Pelodiscus sinensis: one gene and its partner. The protein of the gene in region 1 binds, or shares a complex with, the protein of each later gene. Links are inferred from orthologs where the notes say so. Each region holds a gene or a part of one and is shown in the gene's direction. Other genes may lie near its edges. The genes, in order: AMHR2 and AMH.

What was found.
Region 2: the proteins of AMHR2 (region 1) and AMH are in contact, whole or in part, in a crystal structure (PDB 7L0J), measured with the Homo sapiens proteins. The link is inferred for Pelodiscus sinensis from reciprocal best matches to the Homo sapiens genes AMHR2 and AMH. Residues at the interface, in NP_065434.1 of Homo sapiens: Gly31, Val32, Arg33, Gly34, Ser35, Thr36, Thr38, Leu39, Phe62, Ile64, Glu75, Met76, Arg80, Asp81, Ser82, Glu84, Pro85, Ser95, Arg97, Ala98, Pro100, Ser101, Leu106, Thr108; in NP_000470.3 of Homo sapiens: Leu471, Arg472, Glu474, Val477, Leu478, Ile479, Pro480, Glu481, Thr482, Tyr483, Gln484, Lys534, Leu535, Ile537, Leu539, Glu542, Arg543, Ile544, Ser545, Ala546.

The regions. Positions count from the first base shown.
Region 1 is NC_134729.1:320,225-331,523, forward strand, and holds the start of AMHR2 (anti-Muellerian hormone type-2 receptor), read left to right. Parts: upstream 1-5,407; 5' UTR 5,408-5,422; coding exon 5,423-5,657; intron 5,658-5,754; coding exon 5,755-5,937; intron 5,938-6,453; coding exon 6,454-6,603; intron 6,604-10,324; coding exon 10,325-10,411; intron 10,412-11,299. UniProt on the Homo sapiens protein: On ligand binding, forms a receptor complex consisting of two type II and two type I transmembrane serine/threonine kinases.
Region 2 is NC_134729.1:27,223,396-27,234,711, reverse strand, and holds the start of AMH (muellerian-inhibiting factor), read left to right. Parts: upstream 1-6,907; 5' UTR 6,908-9,351; coding exon 9,352-10,015; intron 10,016-11,316. Other genes in the region: SF3A2 (splicing factor 3A subunit 2), read left to right, coding at 729-800, 1,996-2,042, 2,467-2,576, 3,460-3,509, 3,970-4,110, 4,651-4,719, 6,297-6,632. UniProt on the Homo sapiens protein: Plays an important role in several reproductive functions. Induces Muellerian duct regression during male fetal sexual differentiation. Also plays a role in Leydig cell differentiation and function.

The DNA.
Region 1 (11,299 bases):
GCTCGCACTGGGTCCAGGACAACCCCCACCCCCCCACTGGGTCCAGGACACCCGCCCCAGCGGCTCTGCATTTCAAGTGTATGCGGAGCCAGGCGGACAGGCAGCTCGTCTCAGTCCCGTCTCGCACTGGGACCCTCTTAGACGGGCTGCTTTTGCCTCTGTAGCAGAGACAGCCGTGCAGGGCGGCAGCCAGCCGGTCCGTGAGGGGGGCTGGTTTTTAAACTGGCTCCCCTTGTGGGCCAGCTCCCGCCTGGCGCCCCGCACTGCTGCCTGTGATACAGGGTGCACTGGCTGCCGGCCCCGCCCGTGGGGACTGGAATTCCCGGGTTCCTCAGTTATTCAATTAACCGACGCCATGGCTGGAGCAGAGCGGCAGAGACGCCTGTCTTGCTCCCAACAGGCCTGCTCGTCAGTCCTCTCTGCAGCGGCGTCGTGCTGTTGACTCCTATTTAGCTGGTCCCCTCGATCCCTTCCTGTGTGACGGGCTGTTCCTTCCTAAGGGCAGCACTTGGCATTTGTCCTCAAACGTCATCCTGTTGCCCTCAGCCCATTTCTGCAGAGTGTCCAGATCATTGTGAATTCTCCCCGCACCTCCGAAGCGCTCGCAGCCCCTCCCAGCTTGGGATCATCTGCAGACTTCATAAGCGTCCTGTGTGTGCCGATCCCTCAATGGCTGATGAAGACACTGAACAGACCCCTGCGCAACCCCCCTTGTTCTGCCCTTGCAGCAGGACTGGGAGCCGTTCAGAACGACTGCGCGCTTCGCCCCAGTCCTGCACCACCTGGCTGCCCCGGCTCAGTTGTTTGCCTAGTTTATCGATAAGGTCATGTGAGACTCAGATGCCTTCCTAAAGTCCAGGTATCCCCCCCGCTCCCTTATCCACCCGGCGTGCCGGCCTGTCTCAAAGCGGGCCCGTGGGTCTGAGTGATTTGTGCTTCACGAATCCATGCTTGACTCCCCGCTCCCGAAGCCGTGGCGACTCCCGCGCCCTTCTTGGAGCCTTTTCCAGTGCCCCTACCTTCTTTGAACCGGCCCCGGGAGGCAGGCAGGCTGGGGTGCTCGTGATGCCAATAGGAGATTTCCCAGCGGCTTCCGGAGCCGGCGGAGCAGGCCTGCTCTCCGCCCACGTCTAGCAAAACCCAGCTCAGGTTTCCTGAGGCCTCTAGATTATGGGCGTAGGGCCCCCCGTCCCAAATACTGCCCACCCAAGTCCCCTGGAGCGTCCCCGTGCGAGGTGGCCGGGCTTGAGCGTCTGGGGCAGGCCAAATCCGGACTGCAGCCCCGGGAGCTGAGTGCCCGGACCCTGGCCAGTTGCAGCTGTCCAGCTGAGCAGGTACCCCGTGGAGACGTTCCCTGGGGTTGGGCTGCACGTTTCCTCCAGTGACTCAGCACGCCTTGCTGGCGGTGGGGGTCGCAGTGCGTCGGCCCCGGGGGGCTGCTGCGCGTTAGCAAAGGGGGGGCGAGCGCGCTCCGGCCTGTGGCTGGGAATCGCACCTGGCAACTGGCAGAGCAAATGAAGTGGGGCAAACAACACGCGCCCCCTTCCCGCGACCCTCCGAGACGCTGTTCGGGGGACATTCTGGTGGCCTCGCGGCCGCACTCATGGACAGGGGAACAGCCACCAGAAAAGTGGGTGGGTGCGGTGTGGAGTGGGGTGTGTGGTCATCGTTGTGAGTGTGTGTAGTTGTGTGGTGGGGGTGTATGGTCACTGTTGTGGGTGTGGTCGGGGGGTGTAGTTGTGTGGTGGGGGTGTATGGTCACGGTTGTGGGAGTGGTCGGGGGGGTGTAGTTGTGTGGTGGGGGTGTATGGTCACTGTTGTGGGAGTGGTCGGGGTGTGTGTGTGTAGTTGTGTGGTGGGGGTGTATGGTCACTGTTGTGGGTGTGGTCGGGGGGGTGTAGTTGTGTGGTGGGGGTGTATGGTCACTGTTGTGGGTGTGGTCGGGGGGGTGTAGTTGTGTGGTGGGGCTGTGTGGTCACGGTTGTGGGTGTGGTCGGGGGGTGTAGTTGTGTGGTGGGGCTGTGTGGTCACGGTTGTGGGTGTGGTCGGGGGGTGTAGTTGTGTGGTGGGGCTGTGTGGTCATGGTTGTGGGTGTGGTCGGGGTGTGTGTGTGTAGTTGTCGTGTGTGTGGCTGCGGTGGGGGGGTTCTCCGGGGGGGGTGTCTTAGCTAGGCATGGGGCACAGATGCTAACCCCTGAGGCTGGGGGCCGGGAGCCGCGGCGCTAGCCGCCCTGTGGAAATGGAAGCCGAGGCGCTGGGCCGGAGTCGGCCCCGTTGGCAGGGACCCCAGGGCGCGGGGCCGGGCTGTTTCAGCGCTGTGGGAGCGTGTGGTGGAGCCCGGGCCGTGCTGCGGCTCCTCCGCTCGGCCGGGCGCTGGGTGGGGCTGCCCCCGGCCCTGCCGCAGGGAGGAATTCTCCCAAAGCCTCCCCCGTCCGGCTCCCACCTGGCCTCAGCCCCTCTGCCCCGGGTCCGCTCCTGCGCCCCCCGCCCGTGCCGGGTCACCTGCTGCCCACCCCCACTGGCGCCAGGCCCCCCGCTCGTGGCTGGGGTGTGGGAGGGTCGCGGGGTCTGGCTCTTGATTTTTACACCGTCGGGGGCCTAGGAGTAGGGTGACCCAAGGGAAAATGGGCCAGCCCGTGGGGCTGGCTCGCTCCCCCATGGGGCTGGCCCCACCTGCTGGCCCAAGATGGCTGCTGCTCAACGTTGCTGCTGGTCTTTGGAGCCCGTCCTCCCCCTCAGACCCCGCAGCCCCACCCAGCGCCCGGATGAGCCACAGCACGGCCCGGGCTCCACCGCACGCTCCCACGGTGCTGAAACAGCCCGGCCCCGCGCCCTGGGGTCCCTGCTGACGGGGCCGGCTCCGGCCCAGCGCCTCGGACTGAAGGTCGTGCTGAGACTAAAGGTTGGTGGAGCTGGGTCCCTGTGTTGGGCCGGGCCGGGTCTGGGCACCGCTCAGGGCAAATTGCTCAAAACCAGGGCTCCTTACTGCCCCTGACTGGGGCCCTTCCAAACAGGCCACACGCCGGTCCCACCGAGCGCTCCAGCTGCCAATCCAGCCGGCTGGAACCTCACGAGCAAAACCCCCCGGACACCCCAGCTCTCCCTGTGCCCCAATCCGCCCCGGGGCCCGCACAGGTGGGGGGCTATAGAACCAACCTCACCCACCCCCAACGGCTCCTCCCCCTCCCAGAGAACCAGCCCCAGGTCCCGGTCAATTTGCGCTGTGGATCGTACCCACAAGGGCGCGCTGGGCCCGTCCTTAGCATCTAAGAGCCGAAGGTTCATTCATAAAAGAAGGAAAAGGCGGCGAGTGCGAAGGGGAACACGTCACACGCACCAGTCGCCCAGCTCTCGGTGCAGGCTCTCGGCAGAGCTGTTCCAAACCGCCAGCTTAGACGGCTCTGGGGCCCGTCCTATGGCAGGAGGGGTCGACAATCCTTCCCGGCTCTGTCCCTCGCGAGGCTGCATCTGGGAACAGGAGCAGAATTGAAGGCCGGATGGAGTCGCCTCATGGCACTTTCTATCCATCCCGGGTACCAGTGACCTGTCCCCGTGTCCCGTGTCGGCAGCCACTGGATACTGGCTGCTTTGCAGGTCTCCGGAGCATCCCTCAGGCGTGTTGGGCACCTTGACAGCCACTGTCCCTGGAGCTGCGCTAATTAGCAGAGTCCCTGACTGAACAGTTGCTCTTTACAACAGGCCGTCCAGGCCCACGGCTCCGTCTCAGGCGGAGAACATCGCCAGGACCAGCCCGTCTCCATATCCCCACAGGAGACGTCCCGCCGGTACGTGCGTAGCAGACACAGAACCGGTAGGACACGCGCTTTCATTGGACGCCTCGCATGGCCCCTTTGTACAGACCTTGGGGTGCAGCAGTGATCTGCCTGATCCCCTTAAAATCCAGTCATGTGACAGGCCTACATTCCAGAATACGGGTGGAGCGCGGCCCCGGCCCATGGACAGTGGGGACCGGAACTTTCCCGCCCAAATGGGGTGCCTGGTCCCCTCCCCGCACAGCAACAGAGGCTGGCAGGGTGCCGCTGGTCTGGCCCACAGCAGGGCAGCAGGTCTTTTCCGCAGCTTCCACAGGGCCCTTTTGGCCAGGGAAGGCTTAGCCAGTGCTGGCTGAAATGCAGCTGCCTCTGGGGTGGGGCGCAGGCGCTGGTCACAGTTCAAGCCCCCAGGCCCTGCTCCTCAGAGACGAAGCCCGATCCAGCAGCCACTCGGGCGGGGGGCATTTGGGGATAATGACACCCGCTGGCCGTTGTGTTGGGGCAGGAGCCCCACGGACGTACCCGAGACCTGGCCTGGGCTCACAAGGAAGGCTCTGGGCCGGAGACACGCCCTGGGGCTGTTTGCCACCGGACCGGCGCCCGGAGGCTCCGAGCGGCCAGAGTGGCTAAGCCCCGGGCCGGGCCAGGTCTGGGCACCACTCAGGGCATCTGCCCAGGGCGAGTTGCTCGAAACTCAGGGCTCCGTACAGCCCCAGCCTGGGGACCTTCCCAAACAGGCCACAGGCCGGGCCCACCGAGCGCTCCAGCTGCCAGTCCGGCCGGCAGGAACCTCACGAGCAAAACCCCCCGGACACCCCAGCTCCTCCTATGCCCCAACCAGCCCCGGGCCCCCACACAGGTGCGGGGTTAGAACCCAACCTCACCTCCCCCGAACGGGTTCTTCCGGTCCCAAGAAACCAGCCACCGGTCCCGGTCAATGTACACTCTGGATCTTCCCCGCAAGAGCACGCTGGGCCCGTCCTTCAGAATCTGCACTCTACAGGCTCTTAGCAGAGATGTTAGAAACTGCTCTTAACCGTCTCTGGGGCGCATCCTATGTCAGGACGGGGCCACGGTTCTTCCTGGCTCGTGGTTCCCTGCAAGGCTGCATCTGGGATCAGGAGCCGAACTCAAGACCAGGTGGAGGAGCCACAAGGCACTTCTATACCCCCCTGGGCAGAGCTGGTCACTGCAAGTCGCATGGTCCATGGACCTATCCCCGTGTCCCAGGCCAGCAACCGTTCTCCTGGCCGGCTCGCAGGTCTCCGGATGTTCCCCGGGTGGGTCTCTGGCACTCGGAGCTCTCGTGTCCCTGGAGCCCTGCTAATTAGCACGGCCGCTGGCCTGGTGCTGCCTCCCACAGACCCTTCCGGCGTCCCCGTGGAGCACACGCTTATCACTCCGCACACACCTCGTACGAGCACGTGCAGCGCACACCCAGAATCAGTAGGACACAAGCATTCACGTGACACCTCGCACGGCCCCTTTGTGCCGACTTTTGGGGCACCCCCCCGGGTGCAGCCGTGATCTTTAGAATCCAGTAACGTGACCGACGGAGCCCCGCGGGCTGCAGGGGCTGGGGCAGAGCGGGCCCCACGGGGGGGCTGGGGCAGAGCGGGGCCCACGGGGGGGCAGGCCCGGAGCAGGGCATGGGGGAGTGGCGCCCTCCTTCCCCGCGCTCCTTTTCCTGCCCCTGGCCGCTGACAGCGTCTGGGCCCCATCCCACGCGCCGCGCCGGCCAAGTCCTTCCCGGGGGAGGGCCGGCCGGGCTCACACGCGCGCTCCAGGTGCTGGGAGAAGGACCCCGGCTGGATGGGGCAAGCATGCCCCAGCCCTTCCGAGTGCTGCACGGCCTGGGCCTCTGGCTGAGCCTGGGGCTGCTGGGTAAGGGCCGGGCAGGGCCCCGTGCTCTCCTGGCGCCCCATGGCAGTGGGCGGGGGCCCCCCAAACCCGCCCGACGCAGCCTCCTGTGTCTCCCCAGGCGCCCGGAGCAGCAACCGGAGCTGCGTCTTCTACGAGCCGCCCCACCAGGTGCGGGGCACCATGCGGCACTGGGGGCGCCTGCTGGGGGGCGCCGAGCGCGGCACCATCCTCTGCCTGGCCAGCCAGTGCTGCTTTGGGATCTGGAACGACAGCCAGGGCGGGCTGCAGGCTGTGATGCAAGGTGAGGGGCGGGGAGGGGGCGCCGCCGGCTGGGGCTGTCCGGGCGCCCGGGGGCAGGGGCCGTTTCGGCTCCAGGAGGGGAGCGGGCTCTGGGACGAGGAGCTGGGCGCTGGCTGGGCGGGCTAGTGGTCGGGGCTGGGGCTGGGTGTCTGGACTCCTGGGGAGTAAGGCCTAGTGGTCGGAGCTTTTCCCTGCTCTTGTGTAGCCCCTTCCCACTTGTCTAGAAGTGGCGGGTGGGTTTGGTTTACAGCCCTGGGAAGTGGCCATGGAGGGGGGGCACCTGCCCCCTGCTGCGGCTGGCTCAGGACCCCCCCAGTGGCTGCAGGGTCAATAGGCGCCTGCATGGCCGACACTGGGGACCTCTGTCCCTGACGGCGCCGTCTGTCTGTCTGTGTCTGTCTGTGTGTGTGTCTGTGTCTGTGTGTCTGTCTGTGTGTGTGTCTGTCTGTGTCTGTGTGTGTGTGTGTCTGTCTGTGTGTGTGTCTGTCTGTCTGTCTGTCTGTCTGCGGGAGGCCAGGCTGCTGGGACAGCGACCGGGACGACTGCGACTCCCCGGCCTGCGAACCCAGCCCCATCCACACCTACGGGGTCACCCTGCAGCGCTGCCTGTGCCGCTCTGACCTCTGCAACGCTGCCAGCCGGCTGGGCGCCCCTGCCCCCCCGCAAGGTGAGCGGGCCCCACGGCCGGGGGGGGGCGGGCCCCTCAGTGTTTGCCACGGGGAAGGGGGCTGGGAGCAGACCCCACAGGGCCGGGGGCTCGCGCCGTCTCCCTGCTGCTGCCTGGCTCAGCGGCGAACCCGGGTCGGGAACCCGGAGTCCCAGGCCGGGTCTTGGGGCGACGGGCCCGGGCAGGTGACAGCAGCGCGTCTCCTGTGGGGATGGAGCTGCAGAGCGGGGGAGGTGGGGGGGGCAGGACCGAGGGGCACAGGCAGGGCCGGGGGAAGCTCGCCCAGACTCTGCCTGGCTCCGAGCCCGACACATTCACAGGGAGGAAAAAACAGAGGCAGACACAAGATAAGTAGAAATCGTGTTGCCCCGTCGGGTCTGCCCTGCTCCCCCGCTGCCCCCGGGCTGTCCCCATCCCCCCCCCCCCGTGTCTGGCCCTGCTCCCCCGCTGCCCCTGAGCTGTCCCCATCCCCCCCCCCCGTGTCTGGCCCTGCTCCCCCGCTGCCCCCGGGCTGTCCCCATCCCCCCCCCCCGTGTCTGGCCCTGCTCCCCCGCTGCCCCTGGGCTGTTCCCATCCCCCCCCCCCGTGTCTGGCCCTGCTCCCCCGCTGCCCCCGGGCTGTCCCCATCCCCCCCCCCGTGTCTGGCCCTGCTCCCCCGCTGCCCCCGGGCTGTCCCCATCCCCCCCCCCCGTGTCTGGCCCTGCTCCCCCGCTGCCCCCGGGCTGTCCCCATCCCCCCCCCCGTGTCTGGCCCTGCTCCCCCGCTGCCCCCGGGCTGTCCCCATCCCCCCCCCCCGTGTCTGGCCCTGCTCCCCCGCTGCCCCCGGGCTGTCCCCATCCCCCCCCCCCGTGTCTGGCCCTGCTCCCCCGCTGCCCCCGGGCTGTCCCCATCCCCGCCCCGTGTCTGGCCCTGCTCCCCCGCTGCCCCCGGGCTGTCCCCATCCCCCCCCCCCGTGTCTGGCCCTGCTCCCCCGCTGCCCCCGGGCTGTCCCCATCCCCCCCCCCCGTGTCTGGCCCTGCTCCCCCGCTGCCCCCGGGCTGTCCCCATCCCCCCCCGTGTCTGGCCCTGCTCCCCCGCTGCCCCCGGGCTGTCCCCATCCCCGCCCTGTGTCTGGCCCTGCTCCCCCGCTGCCCCTGGTCTGTCCCCATCCCCCCCCCCGTGTCTGGCCCTGCTCCCCCGCTGCCCCCGGGCTGTCCCCATCTCCCCCCCGTGTCTGGCCCTGCTCCCCCGCTGCCCCTGGTCTGTCCCCATCCCCCCCCCCGTGTCTGGCCCTGCTCCCCCACTGCCCCTGGTCTGTCCCCATCCCCCCCCCCCGTGTCTGGCCCTGCTCCCCCACTGTCCCGGTCTGTCCCCATCTCCCCACCCCCCCGTGTCTGGCCCTGCTCCTCCACTGCCCCCCAGTCTGTCACCATCTCCCCCCCGTGTCTGGCCCTGCTCCCCTACTGTCTCCCGGGCTGTCCCCATCTCCCCCCCCCGTGTCTGGCCCTGCTCCCCCGCTGCCCCCGGGCTGTCCCCATCTTTCCCCCCCCGTGTCTGGCCCTGCTCCCCCACTGCCCCTGTCTGCTCCCCTCCCCGTGCAGCCCCTCTTGCCCCCCCATGTTTGGCCCTGCTCCCCCACTGCCCCCGGTCTGTCCCCATCTCCCCCCTGTGTCTGGCCCTGCTCCCCCGCTGCCCCCGGGCTGTCCCCATCTCCCCCCCCCCGTGTCTGGCCCTGCTCCCCTCCCTGATCTGTCTCCATCCCCTCTGCAAACTCTCCCGGCTGGGGGAGGGACGGTCCAGCATGGGCCCAGCCCGGCAGGTGCGTGGTGCTGGGGGAGCCCCGCTATCTGGCGCTCTGGCCTGGACGGCGGCCCGCGGACCTTGGGAAAGGAGCCAGGCAGGGGAGCGCCGGGCCAGAGAGCTGAGTCACTCTGATAAGCCGCTGGGAGGCAGCGGGACCCAGCGCTCACACGGGGCTGGGCTGGGGCACCGGGGCCGACCCAACAGTTGCCAGGGTCCCGCCTTTCCCCCGAGGGGCTGCTGGGCCTTCTGGGGGGGTGGGGACGGGGGGAGAGCCGGGCGCCTGGGTTCCCTGCCCGACCCTGAAGGGAGAGCGGAGTCTAGTAGTTAGAGCAAACAGGGCCAGGGAGAGCCAGGCGCCCGGGTTCCCTGCCCGGCCCTGAAGGGAGAGCGGAGTCTAGTAGTTAGAGCAAACGGGGCCAGGGAGAGCCAGGCGCCTGGGTTCTCTGCCCGGCCCTGAAGGGAGAGCGGAGTCTAGTAGTTAGAGCAAACGGGGCCAGGGAGAGCCAGGCGCCTGGGTTCTCTGCCCGGCCCTGAAGGGAGAGCGGAGTCTAGTAGTTAGAGCAAACAGGGCCAGGGAGAGCCAGGCGCCTGGGTTCTCTGCCCGGCCCTGAAGGGAGAGCGGAGTCTAGTAGTTAGAGCAAACAGGGCCAGGGAGAGCCAGGCGCCCGGGTTCCCTGCCCGGCCCTGAAGGGAGAGCGGAGTCTAGTAGTTAGAGCAAACAGGGCCAGGGAGAGCCAGGCGCCCGGGTTCCCTGCCCGGCCCTGAAGGGAGAGCGGAGTCTAGTAGTTAGAGCAAACAGGGCCAGGGAGAGCCAGGCGCCCGGGTTCCCTGCCCGGCCCTGAAGGGAGAGCGGAGTCTAGTAGTTAGAGCAAACAGGGCCAGGGAGAGCCAGGCGCCCGGGTTCCCTGCCCGGCCCTGAAGGGAGAGCGGAGTCTAGTAGTTAGAGCAAACGGGGCCAGGGAGAGCCAGGCGCCTGGGTTCTCTGCCCGGCCCTGAAGGGAGAGCGGAGTCTAGTAGTTAGAGCAAACAGGGCCAGGGAGAGCCAGGCGCCTGGGTTCTCTGCCCGGCCCTGAAGGGAGAGCGGAGTCTAGTAGTTAGAGCAAACAGGGCCAGGGAGAGCCAGGCGCCCGGGTTCCCTGCCCGGCCCTGAAGGGAGAGCGGAGTCTAGTAGTTAGAGCAAACAGGGCCAGGGAGAGCCAGGCGCCCGGGTTCCCTGCCCGGCCCTGAAGGGAGAGCGGAGTCTAGTAGTTAGAGCAAACAGGGCCAGGGAGAGCCAGGCGCCTGGGTTCCCTGCCCGGCCCTGAAGGGAGAGCGGAGTCTAGTAGTTAGAGCAAACAGGGCCAGGGAGAGCCAGGCGCCTGGGTTCCCTGCCTGGCCACAAACAGGCTCCGAAGCAAGAAAGGAAATGGGACCCCCCCCCCCCCGTGCCTCCGCGATGTCGCCTCCTGGTTGGACCCCCAGGTCCCCTCCTCTCAGGCTGGAGGGAGACCCCAGGAGCCCTGACCACTAGGCCCCTCTCCCTGCCAGGGGACTGTCTGGGCATCTTCCAGTCGGGCTGCCCAGCTGGAATTAGCCGGGGCTGGATCCGGTCCCCCCTCCCCAGCCCCTTTGATGGGGGAGGACCCAGGAATGCCGGAGGCGAGGGGGGAGCCGTCCTTTCTCCTGGATTTTAATTAAAACTCAAGCGGAGCCGCGGCCCGTGGGTGGGACGGGAGCCAGGGCCAGATGTGAGGGGCCCCGGCGGCCCCCGGCCTCTCGGCTCCAGGAGGGGGCTGGCTAGCGCTGGCCAGAGAGGCCCCGAGGAGACGGGAGCTGATTCCGCAAAGGGCCGCGGGCAGGACGCAGCCGGCAAGGACTTGCCCCCGGGGGGGGGGGGGGGCTGGGACAGATCCGGGGCCGGGTGCTCAGTTCAGCCTCCCCCTCTCTGCCCCTTCTGCAGCCTCGGCCAGGCCTGCTGGGACAAGCGCCGTCTGGATCGTCGCGGCCTGCCTGCTGCTGCTCTTCCTCTGCGGCGTGGCCGTCCTAGGTATCCCCGGCTCCTCCGGCCCCGCCCCGGTGTGAGGTGTGCCGGATCGACCCCTGCCCCCACCCTGGGACCCTGCTCGGCCCAGCCATGGAAGGGAGGGACTGCAACGCAGCTGTGGGGTGGTCCCTGGTCCCAGCCAGCAGGGGGCGCCCTGGCCAGGGGCAGGAAGCCAGTTAATTGCCCCTTGTCGTGGGTGCTGCTGCTCTCTGGTGGGGCAGCATCAGGGCTGGGCCAGGCTGCCCTGCGCTCACACCCTGCCCAGGCCCAGCCCCTAGGACTCCGGCAGGGCGCCTGGGCAGCTGCTTGGGGGATTCAAATGCCGCCCAGCTGATCTGCAGCGCGCCCACGGCGAGGTTTTGGTTTCTACGTATGGTGCCGATCCGTGCAAGCCTCGGTGCACAGAACAAAATTTATTCCACACGTGGATAGAAAAGCTCAGAGGGAACATTGCTACACACACACACACACACACACACACACACAGAGTCTGGCTGTCTGTAAACAGTCTCTCCTACACACACACAGCCTGGGTTGGTGAACGACTCACATGCACACCCACACACAGGTCATCTGTCTGTATACACAGGCTGTCCCTCCCTAAACACACAGTCTGCTCATCTCTGTAGGCGCCCACACAAACTGGCACACCCACCCTTTGTCTGTCTGCACACACCGGCTGTCTGTCTCTCTTGCCACTGGTGCCTGACTCACCCTGTCTGTCAGCGCACGCGCACACACACACATGCGCGCACACACACGCACATGCGCACACACACATGCACACACACACACACGCGCGCGCGCACACACACACACACCAATGACCTTCGCTGTGGGCCCTGCAGCAACGTGGGCCCAGCCCTGCAAGCGCCCGGTGTTACTGCGCGG
Region 2 (11,316 bases), about 27 Mb from region 1:
TAATATAAAAATTAATTTCAGCTAAAAAGTAATATGTTTCCATTGGTGCAGCCCCTGTCCATGGTGGGCCCGGGTGCCCTACAGCCAGGGGCTGCCCCAGGCACTGGAACAGCCCCTGTTCACATCAGGCCCTGGCACCTTGAAGGCTGGGGTCACTGAATTACTGGAGTGCCCCCCCCCCCCATCCATGCCTCCTTTAGTCAATAAACGCATTCAATGGGATTTTACATTCCTATTATGTGCAGGTGGACTGTCCATTCAGAGCCTTATTGAAATCAGTGGAGCTCTGTTCATGTTCAGAGGTCTACCTCCGGGAAGTAGCTTGTCAGATCAGAGCCTTACTGGAGAACTGTGGATGGTAATGAAATACTTCTAGTGCCTTCTCATTAAGAGAGGTTTTGAAGATTGAACTGAAACACTGTCATTTGACCATATAAACAATACATTTACTTTATACCTTATAGGACCTTGTTTTCCTATTGTCATTTGTATGGTATAGAACATGCAGCTGATGCTTGCCAAATAAATTGTGGTGTTATCCATTTGAAAGGAATGTTCATTCCATAACTGAAATCAATGAGCTTAAAGATTCCTCTCTCCAATCCAGGAATGATTTTGACTTGTATATACACAAATTACCTTTGTCTGTAAATTCAGTGTAGTGCAGGTTGCTGATATGAGCATGTGACCTCTCTCATTCAGTTCTTGTTCTCTTATCCTCTCCTCAGGATCCTTACTTTATGAAAAATCACTTGGGTTCTTATGAATGTAAACTTTGCCTAACACTGCACAACAATGAGGTGAGTTGAACATGCCTTCGCATTTAACCCTTTGGAGGTGGTCTCATTTCCAAGGGGATAACTCCTGCAAACTGGCTATTGTTTTTGTTTTGGAGGACATAAAATTTTGCTTTGTGACAACAGGTTTGTACAGCACCTCAAACCACTATAAATGTATCTGTGATTTAAACATTAAAAAAGTCAGTGGACAGATTTGATTAGGCCAAAAACCCTGAATTGCACTTAAAATCCATTGCAGCACAAAACTAGTGGAAGCAGCCTAGAAAGTGAAGGTTGAGAAACTGAAACACAATAAATTTGTCATTTCATATTATTGCACCTTTAATAATGCATCTAATGTATAAGTACCTTAAAGATGTTCTTTTTGTTTCTTTTTAATTTTTAACTAGAAGCATCTTTTTAAGGACTGGCATTAGTATATGAATTGCGGTTGGCTCTCAGGGGCAAGAGATCTCCCAGTGTGGGTTGTGAAAGGTCAGGATGTGGAGGCTTGTGTCAGGGTTTTTTTTTTGGGGGTGGGGGAAGAGAGGAAGTGATTGGTGGTTGAGATCTGGGTTGGTGGAGGGAATGGATGAGACCCTGAAAAAAGTGTACATTTTCCCGTACCTCAGTGCACTTATGAGGATGAATACATTTTTCCTTTGTGCTGTAAGGGTACGTCTACACTTGCACCCTAGTTCGAATTACGGATGCAAATATAGGGGACCAAAATGGCTAATGAAGCGGGAATTTAAATATCCCGCGCTTCATTAGCATAATCTCGCCTGCGTGCTATTCTCTTTGCCAGCTGATTCAAACCAGGAAGTGCGTTAATTCAAAACAAACCCTTTGGTTCAAACTAACGTTACTCCTCATTTTTTGAGGAGTAACATCAGTTTGAACTAAGGGGTTTGATTTGAACTAACGCGGCCCGGAGCGCACTTCCTGGTTCGAATCAGCTGGCAATTGGAATAGCGCGCAGGCGAGATTATGCTAGTGAAGCGCAAGATATTTAAATCCCCGCTTCGTTAGCCATTTCGGTCGCCTACATTTGTATCCCTAGTTCGAACTCGGGTGCAAGTGTAGACGTACCCTAAGAGTTAAAATATTGACGTGTCTGAGAGCTTCCTTCAGAAGGCAGCTTAACTCTTCTGTGACATCTGGATACTTCGCAGCTTTCTGTCATATTTAATTTTCTTGTCTTGTTCTGTTGCAGGGAAGCTATTTAGCACACACCCAGGGGAAAAAGCATCAGACCAATTTGTAAGTTCTTAATGGAAGTGTTTTCCAGTCTCTGGACATGTTAAATTAGTGGGTATCTGTTTTAACAAACACTTCATCCTGGATTTATTTGTTTTACATTATAAATCAGAGTGCAAACTTAGTTTTGCTGTAGGCATGAGATCAAACAGTCCAGTTTGGCTTTTAAGCCTCCCTCTCTTCTTGGGTGCAACCCATCAAGTAGTTTTTCTTCATGTGCTAAGTGGAATGTCAGACGGGAAGCTCTTGGTTTAGCATTGTTGTAGCAGTGGGTTCAAATTCACAGCTATAGGGACTGTAGTTCTCTGTCAGGGCAGGAGTTGGCAAGAGACGGCTAGCAGGGTTTCAAGGCTGTATAGAGTACTCTTAATCGAAAGGATCGCATTTCTGAGTGCATCTAGATGACAACCTTCTGTCCTGATTTCAGAGCTCGCAGGGCTGCCAAGGAAGCTAAGGAAGCCCCTGCCCAGCCTGCACCAGAAAAAGTCAAAGTGGAAGTGAAAAAGTTTGTGAAAATTGGACGACCAGGTTACAAAGGTGACAAGTGACTGGCATGTCTTTTCTGTCAGGGTACCAACCTGGTTCTTGCTTGAAATGCAGTGCTGTGGATATTAGTTGTAAATAAGCTTTTCAGCCAATATGGTTATAAATAAATTCTAGGGCCGCGTCCCCCTCTCCTTGCATTGTTTTGTTTGCCTGTAGAGTGACTCAGCAATGCATAGGTAGTCATGATCAGTGATGCAACAGGTGGACAGCATGGGATGTATTCTGGCTCTCCTCTGCCACCTACTATAGTACTGCTCCCATGAGTATGATTTCCCCCCTTTCTTTCCATAAATGCTGAGTGTCACTAACAAGGTTTGTAATCTCAAATTTACTCACCCATTTTTATTTAAAAAATTGTTATGGCACGCTTCATGAAACTGGCTTTGTCACTGTGTTCTTGGCCAAAACTTCCTTTTTCTTCCATTTTATGTCCCCTATCTTCCCCTATTTTGCCATGTTCTGTGTGTCCGTTCTCTCCCTCTGCCCCAGAAGTTGCTGCATTTCAGTGGTGCTGAACACTTGGCATAAAGGCTTTCAAATAATGTAGTGTTACAACTGTGTAAACGGTCAGAGTTTTTGTTTTCTTTGGGATGGTGCTCTGTGCAGTACTATCAATTCCTAAAACAGGATTAGTGTCACTCCAGCTGCAATACTGTATTACAGCGGTTTTCAGCCTTTTTTCATTTGTGGACCCCTAAAAAGTTTTGAATGGCGGTGCAGAACCCTTTGGAAATCTTAGACATAATGTGCAGACCCTGGATTGAAAATCACTTTTCTATGGTAATAGTAACCTTCTGTGAACCTCTTACACATAGTCTGTGGTGCACAGGTTGGAAACACTACGGTATTGAACTCGTTCATTGTCCTTTCACAGTGACCAAACAGAGAGATCCAGAAATGGGGCAACAGAGCCTTCTCTTCCAGGTAAGCGACTGTGAACCTTGCATACCGCTGAGTGGTGCTTGTAAAGGAATTGTTCGGCTGCAAGTTCCTAGCAGGATGGATTAGAACAGAGGCTGTCGTTGAGGGTTTTGGCTCGGTTCCTGGTAGACATGTTCCCACACAATTACAGACAGCCATCAGAATGTTCTTGACACGGGCTGAGGAACGGTCCTCTTGTTCCTAGGGGTGGTCTTGGTAGGGCTGTGCTGTGGCACATGGGCAGTGGTGCTGGGGGAAGCTTTCGGTGCCGGCGCACTGCTCCTCACCATGTTGTAAGTGGAGAGATCCGTGACCAAGGCTGGTTTCTTTCACCAGCAGTAAATGTACTAATTTCACCATACAAAGGACACGGACTGGCCCCTCTTTATGGCTGGGGGTGTTTTCCGCTAGCAGAAGGGGGGAGGATTGAGTATGTACCTAATGCTGCAATATCCCCCCACAGATCGATTACCCAGAGATCGCTGAAACCATCATGCCTAGGCACCGGTTCATGTCTGCATACGAGCAAAGGATTGAGCCCCCAGACAGACGCTGGCAATACCTCTTGATGGCGGCGGAGCCCTATGAAACCATTGCTTTCAAGGTACAGTTTATTGGCCAATCATTGGCTGGGAATGTGTCTCGTGGATGGTAAGACTGAAATGACCCACTCTGGCCTCCTGCATGTTGATCTCTCCCTGCCCTGTGCATTCAGTGACAATAGAGCAGTGTCCACCTATTCCATTGCGCCTATGTGGATGGGGAGCATGGTTGGGCCTTTGTGTACAGGGAGCTTGGTTGGAAGTGTTGAAAGAGGACAACTCCTGAACCACCCTTCAGGATGAATAGAGACATGTGGCCGAGAGCGTCTGGGCAGCCAAGGAATTCTCTGCCTCCAGCACAGAAAGGAGCCCTTTGGGCCCTGCTCCTGCATCCTTTTTGTGCAGGTGTTAAGAGGAGCCAGTTTCAGACGATAAGCTTGCCCTTGAGAGATATGAAAGTGTCTTAATTCCTCCCCTCTGTCTATTAAGGCCTGATAGCACATCTCACACAAGCCTGGAATAGCGGTGCTTATCTTGCCGCTCTAGTGCTAAGGAGCTAATCTGGTGGTGCTAATAATAGCTCTTTACTGCTTTTGTTACAGGTGCCAAGCAGGGAAATTGACAAAGCAGAAGGAAAGTTTTGGACTCACTGGAACAGAGAAACCAAACAGGTAGCTGGAGACTCACTTCTTTGGGAGGGAGTGAAAAGATAAGAGGACAATGTGGAGGAGCGTAGGCCAGTGGTTACCAAAATACTTCGGTAGAACCTCAGTTATGAACACCAGAGGTAGAAACTGACCAGTCAGCCACACGCATTGTTTGGAACCAGAAGCATGACACAGAAATGTAAATACCATATAGTTCTGTGTTAAACGTAAACTACTAGAAAGTAAAGGCAAAGCAGCGTTTTTCTTCTGCAAAGTAAAGTTTCAGAGCTGTAGTAAGTCAGTGTTTGGTAGTAAACTTTTCAAAGAGCAACTGTAATGTTTTGTTCAGTGTTACAAACAACCTCCATTCCCAAGGCATTCTTAACTCTGATTATCTTGTAGTTCTGGCACTTCATGCTCCTTCACTGTGGAGCCTTGATGCTGAGCATTTCACAAGCCCACATTCTGAACTCCGATTTCCAGGGTGGGTTGGTGGTGGGTCTGGCCGATTGATTACATTGGTTCAGTTTCCTATGAACGCTGGACACAGATGTGTGCTGGAGCCCTCCTTTCCTTGATGCTTGAACCCACAATCCTGGGGTCCTCAGGCCAATGCCCTAGGCCACTTCAAAACCCAGCCCGCCTCCCTACCTGCAGGACGTCCCTTATCCGGCCTTCTTAATGGGGCAGCTGGTGGTGGTGTTCCTGGGTGGCTGGGCCTTGAAGCCACAACCCTGGGGTTGCCAGGCCAATGTGAGACAGAATGTTTTCTGTCTAACGTTCTCCGTGGGTGTTTGGCACGTGACATGATCTTCCTTGGCTCATCTGAGTTACTAAAAGGGCAAGTGTCAATCACCCAAAAGTAAGCTCCCTTATTGGCATTCTCGGCAGGGAGGTGGAGATGTGAAGGGGTCGTTGAGACTGATCTTCTTTCTCACCCAAACAAGGGGTCCCTCCAGGTCAGGTGGAAGTGCATTGGGAAGAAGCTTCTACAGCTGCTGCTGTACATACACAATCTGTCTCCTGAGCGGTCACCAGCATTTACGTTTGCTTAAAAATAAAACATGAAGCTGAGTGAAAATCTTCCTGGATTGCTGCCGCGTCAGTGGCTAGTCCAGCAGCCAGACCTTTCCACAGGGAATGCACGGACTTAGCCGCAGCACAGCACCAGTGGATCAATACGTAGCAGCAACATGTTCCTAACGTGTTTGGGGAACCGTGCGCCAGACACTTGTGTGGTGCTGTGTCCAGGGTGTGTGTGCAGTAGGCACAGTTGAGCAGGGATGGGGTGCTATACATAAGGGTGAGATGTTAACTTGGTAACTGACTCAGAAGCCAAAGAGCATATTTCGGGCTACTCTAGAATTAGAAGTGGGACTGCATTTGGTGCGAACCCGAGGTTGTCTGTTGATGGAGAGGCTGAGCGCGATGTGAGGTGACACCTGGGGTTGGAAGCATTACACATCATGTTTCAGTGGTTCACAATATTTCTTGGCGTACCAGAGACCACATGGTAGGGCAGCCACCTTGCGAGGTTCCCAAGCTGCTTTGCTGATTTGAATCTGTCCCTTTTTTTTTTTTTTTTTTTTTTTTTGCCCTAGTTCTTCCTTCAGTTCCATTTCAAAATGGAGAAGCCCCCAGTTCCCCAGAGCATCCCTCCTGGACCCCCAACCGTGAAGAGGCCTCCACCACCCCCACTGATGAATGGCTTGCCCCCACGACCACCTCTGCCGGACTCCATGCCGCCGCCGCCACCTCCTCCAGGAGGCTTGACTTTGCCACCCATGCCTCCCTCCGGTCCTGTACCGCCCCCAGCACCACCTCAGCTGCCCCCAGCTCCTGGGGTACATCCCCCTGCTCCTCTGCCCCCCATGATGAGACCACCTCTTCCCACGGAGGGGCCAGGAACTATTCCCCCCCCTCCTCCTTCCAACTGAAAAGCTCCTCCTGGACACTTTCCCCAGTGGACTCCTTTTGATTTGTGTTTTAATTATACACCATTATTTGCTCAGAGGGAAATCTTTGTCCTTTTTATATGCTAATAGCGTTGCCTGAATCCTGTAGGTTCATTAAAAGGCTTTCTACATTGTTTTCTGTATCCACGTCTTTCTCTTTGGGTGAAAACCATTGCCTGTGTTTCCACATTAGTAGTGTTAAAAGGCCCAAGAAAATGTGTAGCTAGTAACACACTGTCAGCCCTTGCTGTCCTTAGTGGTATATATTCAGAGTTATCATTACTCAAGGGGACAATGACTATACTCTCTAGAAATCTAACATCAGCTCAGACTCATGACACAATGCTTCTCCCTATGTTGGTTTTTGCTGTCCCATGTTCTACATCAGGGGTCTACCTTTTTGAGATCGCTTTTTAAATGTAAGTGCAATCCAAGGTCTACCTCAGATACAAATACCCTTGTCCCACCTCCTTCCTGCACCTTCTCTAAGACCCTGCCCCGCTCACTCCATCCTCCCTCTCTTGCCCATCCTCACTCACTTTCGCCAGGCTGGGGCAGATGGTTGGAGTGCAGGCTCCGGTCTTGGATTAAGGGATCTGGAATGTGAGAGAGGCTCTGAGCTGCTCTTGGGGCAGGAAGGGGTTCTAGGTGCAGGCTCTGGGATGGCATTTGGATGCAGGGATATACCTATCTCATAGAACTGGAAGGAACCTTGAGAGGTCATCAAGTCTAGTCCCCTGCCCTCAGGACTCGAGCCTAGGGCAGAGCCTTGGGGTACAAGAGGGGGTTCACGACTGGGGTAGGAGTTTGGGATGTGAGCTGCAGATGGGCACTGCTCGTGGCTCCTGGTTGGTGGGGCTGTGGCTCTGAACCACTCCCAAAAGCAGCCAGCAAGCTCCCTCCCAAGTCCTGTTGTGCCCCCTCTCTGCTCTGTGGAGATAGGATGAGAGTGGGCACCCTGACATCAGTGCGCTCTCGCTCCCCTGCCCTGCACAGAGAGCAGGAGGATCCCAGAGGGAGGGGCAGCTCCAAGGCAAAGGGCAGGAGATGAGCAGCAGTGGGGAGAGAGGCAGCTGAAGGTGCTGGCACTTGATAGCCTCCTGGCCAAACCAGTAAGAATCATCTGACAGGCTCCAAGATCTACCAATAGATCCCGATCAACTGGTTGGTGCCCACTGCTCTACATTGCCCTGTGGGAGAACTCCCCCATCCTTCCTCACGGGGACACTTTCTGGGGTTCCATGACAGCTGACTTTCCCTTGGCTGTCTCACCCGCTCCAGAATTTGATCATGTATTTCCATATATTGAACATGCACAGAGGGGTCCGGATTCAGAGCTAGGTTTAGATCTAGCCATGTGCATCTCAACAAACACGTGGCAGAAATGGATTCTTGCCCCATGCGCTGTCTCTTGCTGCATCTTAGATACCCAATGCCGAGGCTGCCCGATGAATCTCCCTGCAAATGTACGTGACGTGTCAGACGCGGCTGGGCAAGGTCAGAGTGAAGTAGGATTCCTCAAGATAAAGCCACAAACTAGTATTTTGAAAATGAAAATTGGCTAATTGTGCAAGTGTAACGTGTGGAACAACAGGAAGAGGGATTTCTGTTCAGGTGAGCTGGTGCTCAGGCAGTTCTCTGAAGCCAGCGTCTTAAGAGCCTCTGTGGCTTGAGTCTGTCGACCCGGTTGAGATCTTACCCTGAGATGGGATGGAGGCTCTATCGCTTGTGAGTCTTGCGGTAGGAGAGAACTCGGAGCAAGTAAGCCCTTTGGTCTATTCACACAGCTTGGTCTCCAGCACCTCTGCAGACAGAGATTCCTGGTACTGCATTTACCTCTTGAGTCATGCGCACGGGCCCTGTGAGCCAGCAGAAAGGTCTGGCTGTGTGTTGAATGTGGTTTTGAAGATCCATTTACCTGTGGGCATCACATTGCCGTGGAATCGGTGTGGGGACCGCACTAGCCATTTGGCCCTGTTGGGATGAGTGAAAGCAGGAAAGGAAAGTAGCTTTGGTGACCCAGCAGGACAGACCATGGCAGGATTGTTCCCTCTTTTATCGAATCCAGGACGGTTTTTGCCTCAAGGTCTGAGCCTTCCATGAATTCCCTCGTGAGACCCTTCCCTGATGCTCCAGTAGAATGAAATATTTTTACACCAAGCACTGAATTTTCCAGAGGAGTTGGAACAGCATAATATGAGTCTTCATGAGATGACCTCTCTAATGTGTCTGCAGAGGGGAAGAGCTGGTGCTCCCAGTAATCATGGGACGCTTCCCAGCCGAGAGAACTGATTGATCTAACTTCTCTCCATTTCTTCCCATTACCTTACTTCTACCCATTCCTTCCACTCTAAGCAGTTCCTTCCCCCAGATGTTTCAAGCCCTAAGAGAAATGTCTGCCAATCCCAGTGAAGATTCAAGCCAGACTGGCCATTTTCTCCCCACCCTTCTTAAAAACTTCTTAAGTCAAGGACAAGCATCCCTACAAATAAGGTAAACAGCTTCAATTTTATAATGTTTCCAAGCCCTGGATGCAAAGCCAAAAATAGAGCAGAAAAACTCCTTTGAATCGGCCCTCCCTCCTTTACAGCACACTGGCCTCTGAATGTTTCTCAGGGGAGGTGTGTTGTGCATTGTCAACTCAAGGTCGCTTTGTTTGAATGGGAGGTGCAGTCCTTCCCATACATAAGTGTTTCGAGGGATGCACTTAGTAACTCTAGCCTCGGAGGTTAGAGCTGCTCCGCGCCAGAACATGAAGCCCGTGCTAGGAGTCGCTTTGCAGTACCTGCTGCTGTTCCTCCCATCTGCTGCTGTGCCTAGGAAGAGAGGCATCGGGGGAGGACTCTGGCAGGCTGAAGAACTGGAAATAACCTTCCCGAAGGAGCTGGAAGAAAAGGAAGATGAGAGCACGTATGAGGGAGCAGAACCCAGCTTCATGGCATTGACATCCAAGGCCACCGCTGTTCCTCATCCCCTCTTGAAGAGTGACCAGCCAGGAGATTATGCCAAGGGAGCAAAATGCCCCCAGCTCTTCCCTGAGGAGGCAGTTTCCCCAGTTGTGGGGTTAGAATCCAGCCTCCCTGCTTGGCTCCCTGACAGGCTGGAAGGGCCTGTGTGCACGGTGAGAATGAGCAGGCGGTACGGCTTGGACCAGAGTCTTTTGGAAGTTGTGGGGGTCCTTACCAGCTACGAAAGCGATTTCCTGAAGCTGGTGAGACATGCCAGCTGGGATCAAGGCCAGCTGCAGACCTTTGGGATCTGTCCTGCCGGGGAGACCCATTCTGCTCTCCTGTCTCTGAAGCACATCCATGCCCACTTGGCTGAGCCAGGGGAGAGCAGGTTCCTGGTGCTGCATCTTGAGGAAGGTAAGTGCTCGGTTAAATCCTCGGAAGAGTCAGCCAAGAGAACCCAGTAGTGACTGGGGTTGAGAGAGATACTCAGATCCCATGGGAAGTGGGGCGTTACCAGGCAAATCCTGCTTTGCCACCAAAGATGGGGGTCGGTAGGAGACGAAACGGGGGAGAGGGACCAACTCCCCCGGAGAGTAGAAATAACCCACTCAGCATCATAAGCTTCCCATTCCGGTAGAGATCACCTTGTGCGTGTCCCTGTCCCCATCCGTCCCTGGCAACATCCTGTTGGCCGCTGGGGCTCCCAGCATAGCTGGGTTAATGCTCTCCCCCTCGGCCCTTGCTGCACTCCTGGCTCACTCAGTTCTTCAATGCTTACAGTAAAATCCAAAGGCTAAGGTGAAACCCTGTTCTCTCTGTGGAAGAGAAAGGGTATATGTGGGTAACCGCGTTCGTCCCCGTTCTTAGCAGTGCCCTGGTTCATAGGGTGGCATAAAACCCTTGAGAAAGCTGATTGCTGAGAACAATTCCCTCTTGTTCTTTCCCCGCTGGTATTGGTCTCTTGCGTAATGTCTCCAGCCCTGTTCATGAAGCACATCGGAGCCCTTGCTGCCATGGGGAGCTTGCCTGTGTAGAAACCCTGCCGCATCTCCCTTGCAATAGACTGCATGAGGACTCGTGCAGGCTCATGTGAATGGGTCTGTGCAGAAGTAGATAGCTTCATGCTTACCCTTGGGTGGGAATGGGGAAAGGGCAATGTTAAGCTGCAGGGGGGTGGCCTGGGACCATGGTCCCCCAGGGAGCCACGTCGGTGTCTGCGGGATCTCTTTCCAGCAGCGTTCTAGCACGGGCAGGGTTTGACCCGGCAGAGAACTAGGTCAGTTACACTGGGTGAACCTTCTCCTCAGCCCCCTCCACCAGCGTATTTAAATATATAACACTTAGTGCTGGCTTGAGAGCCCCGGAGTCTGTGCGTGTGCGAGCACAGTCCTTTAGCGGCGCCGCGTCCCTTCGAGCAGCGGTGTGCTTGTGGCGGGGGTCGGTGGAATTCCTTGGTCTTTGTTACGCAGGGGTCCAGTGAGAGGATGTCAGTCTGGTTTTGAAATCGGTTGAGTCACACACAGCCGCCCCATCAGGGTCCCCCCGCTTTGCTTCACCAGGTTAGGGATGTTAAATTGTGGTGATCTGGCTCCTCGTGTGGTCGATAATGACACGACTAGTCGACGGGCTGCTCTGCAGAGCCACGGCAAGGGGAGCTCCAGGAGCTGGCTCAAATTGGGACTCAGCAGTCCTGGCTCGTGCTGGCTCTGGGAGAT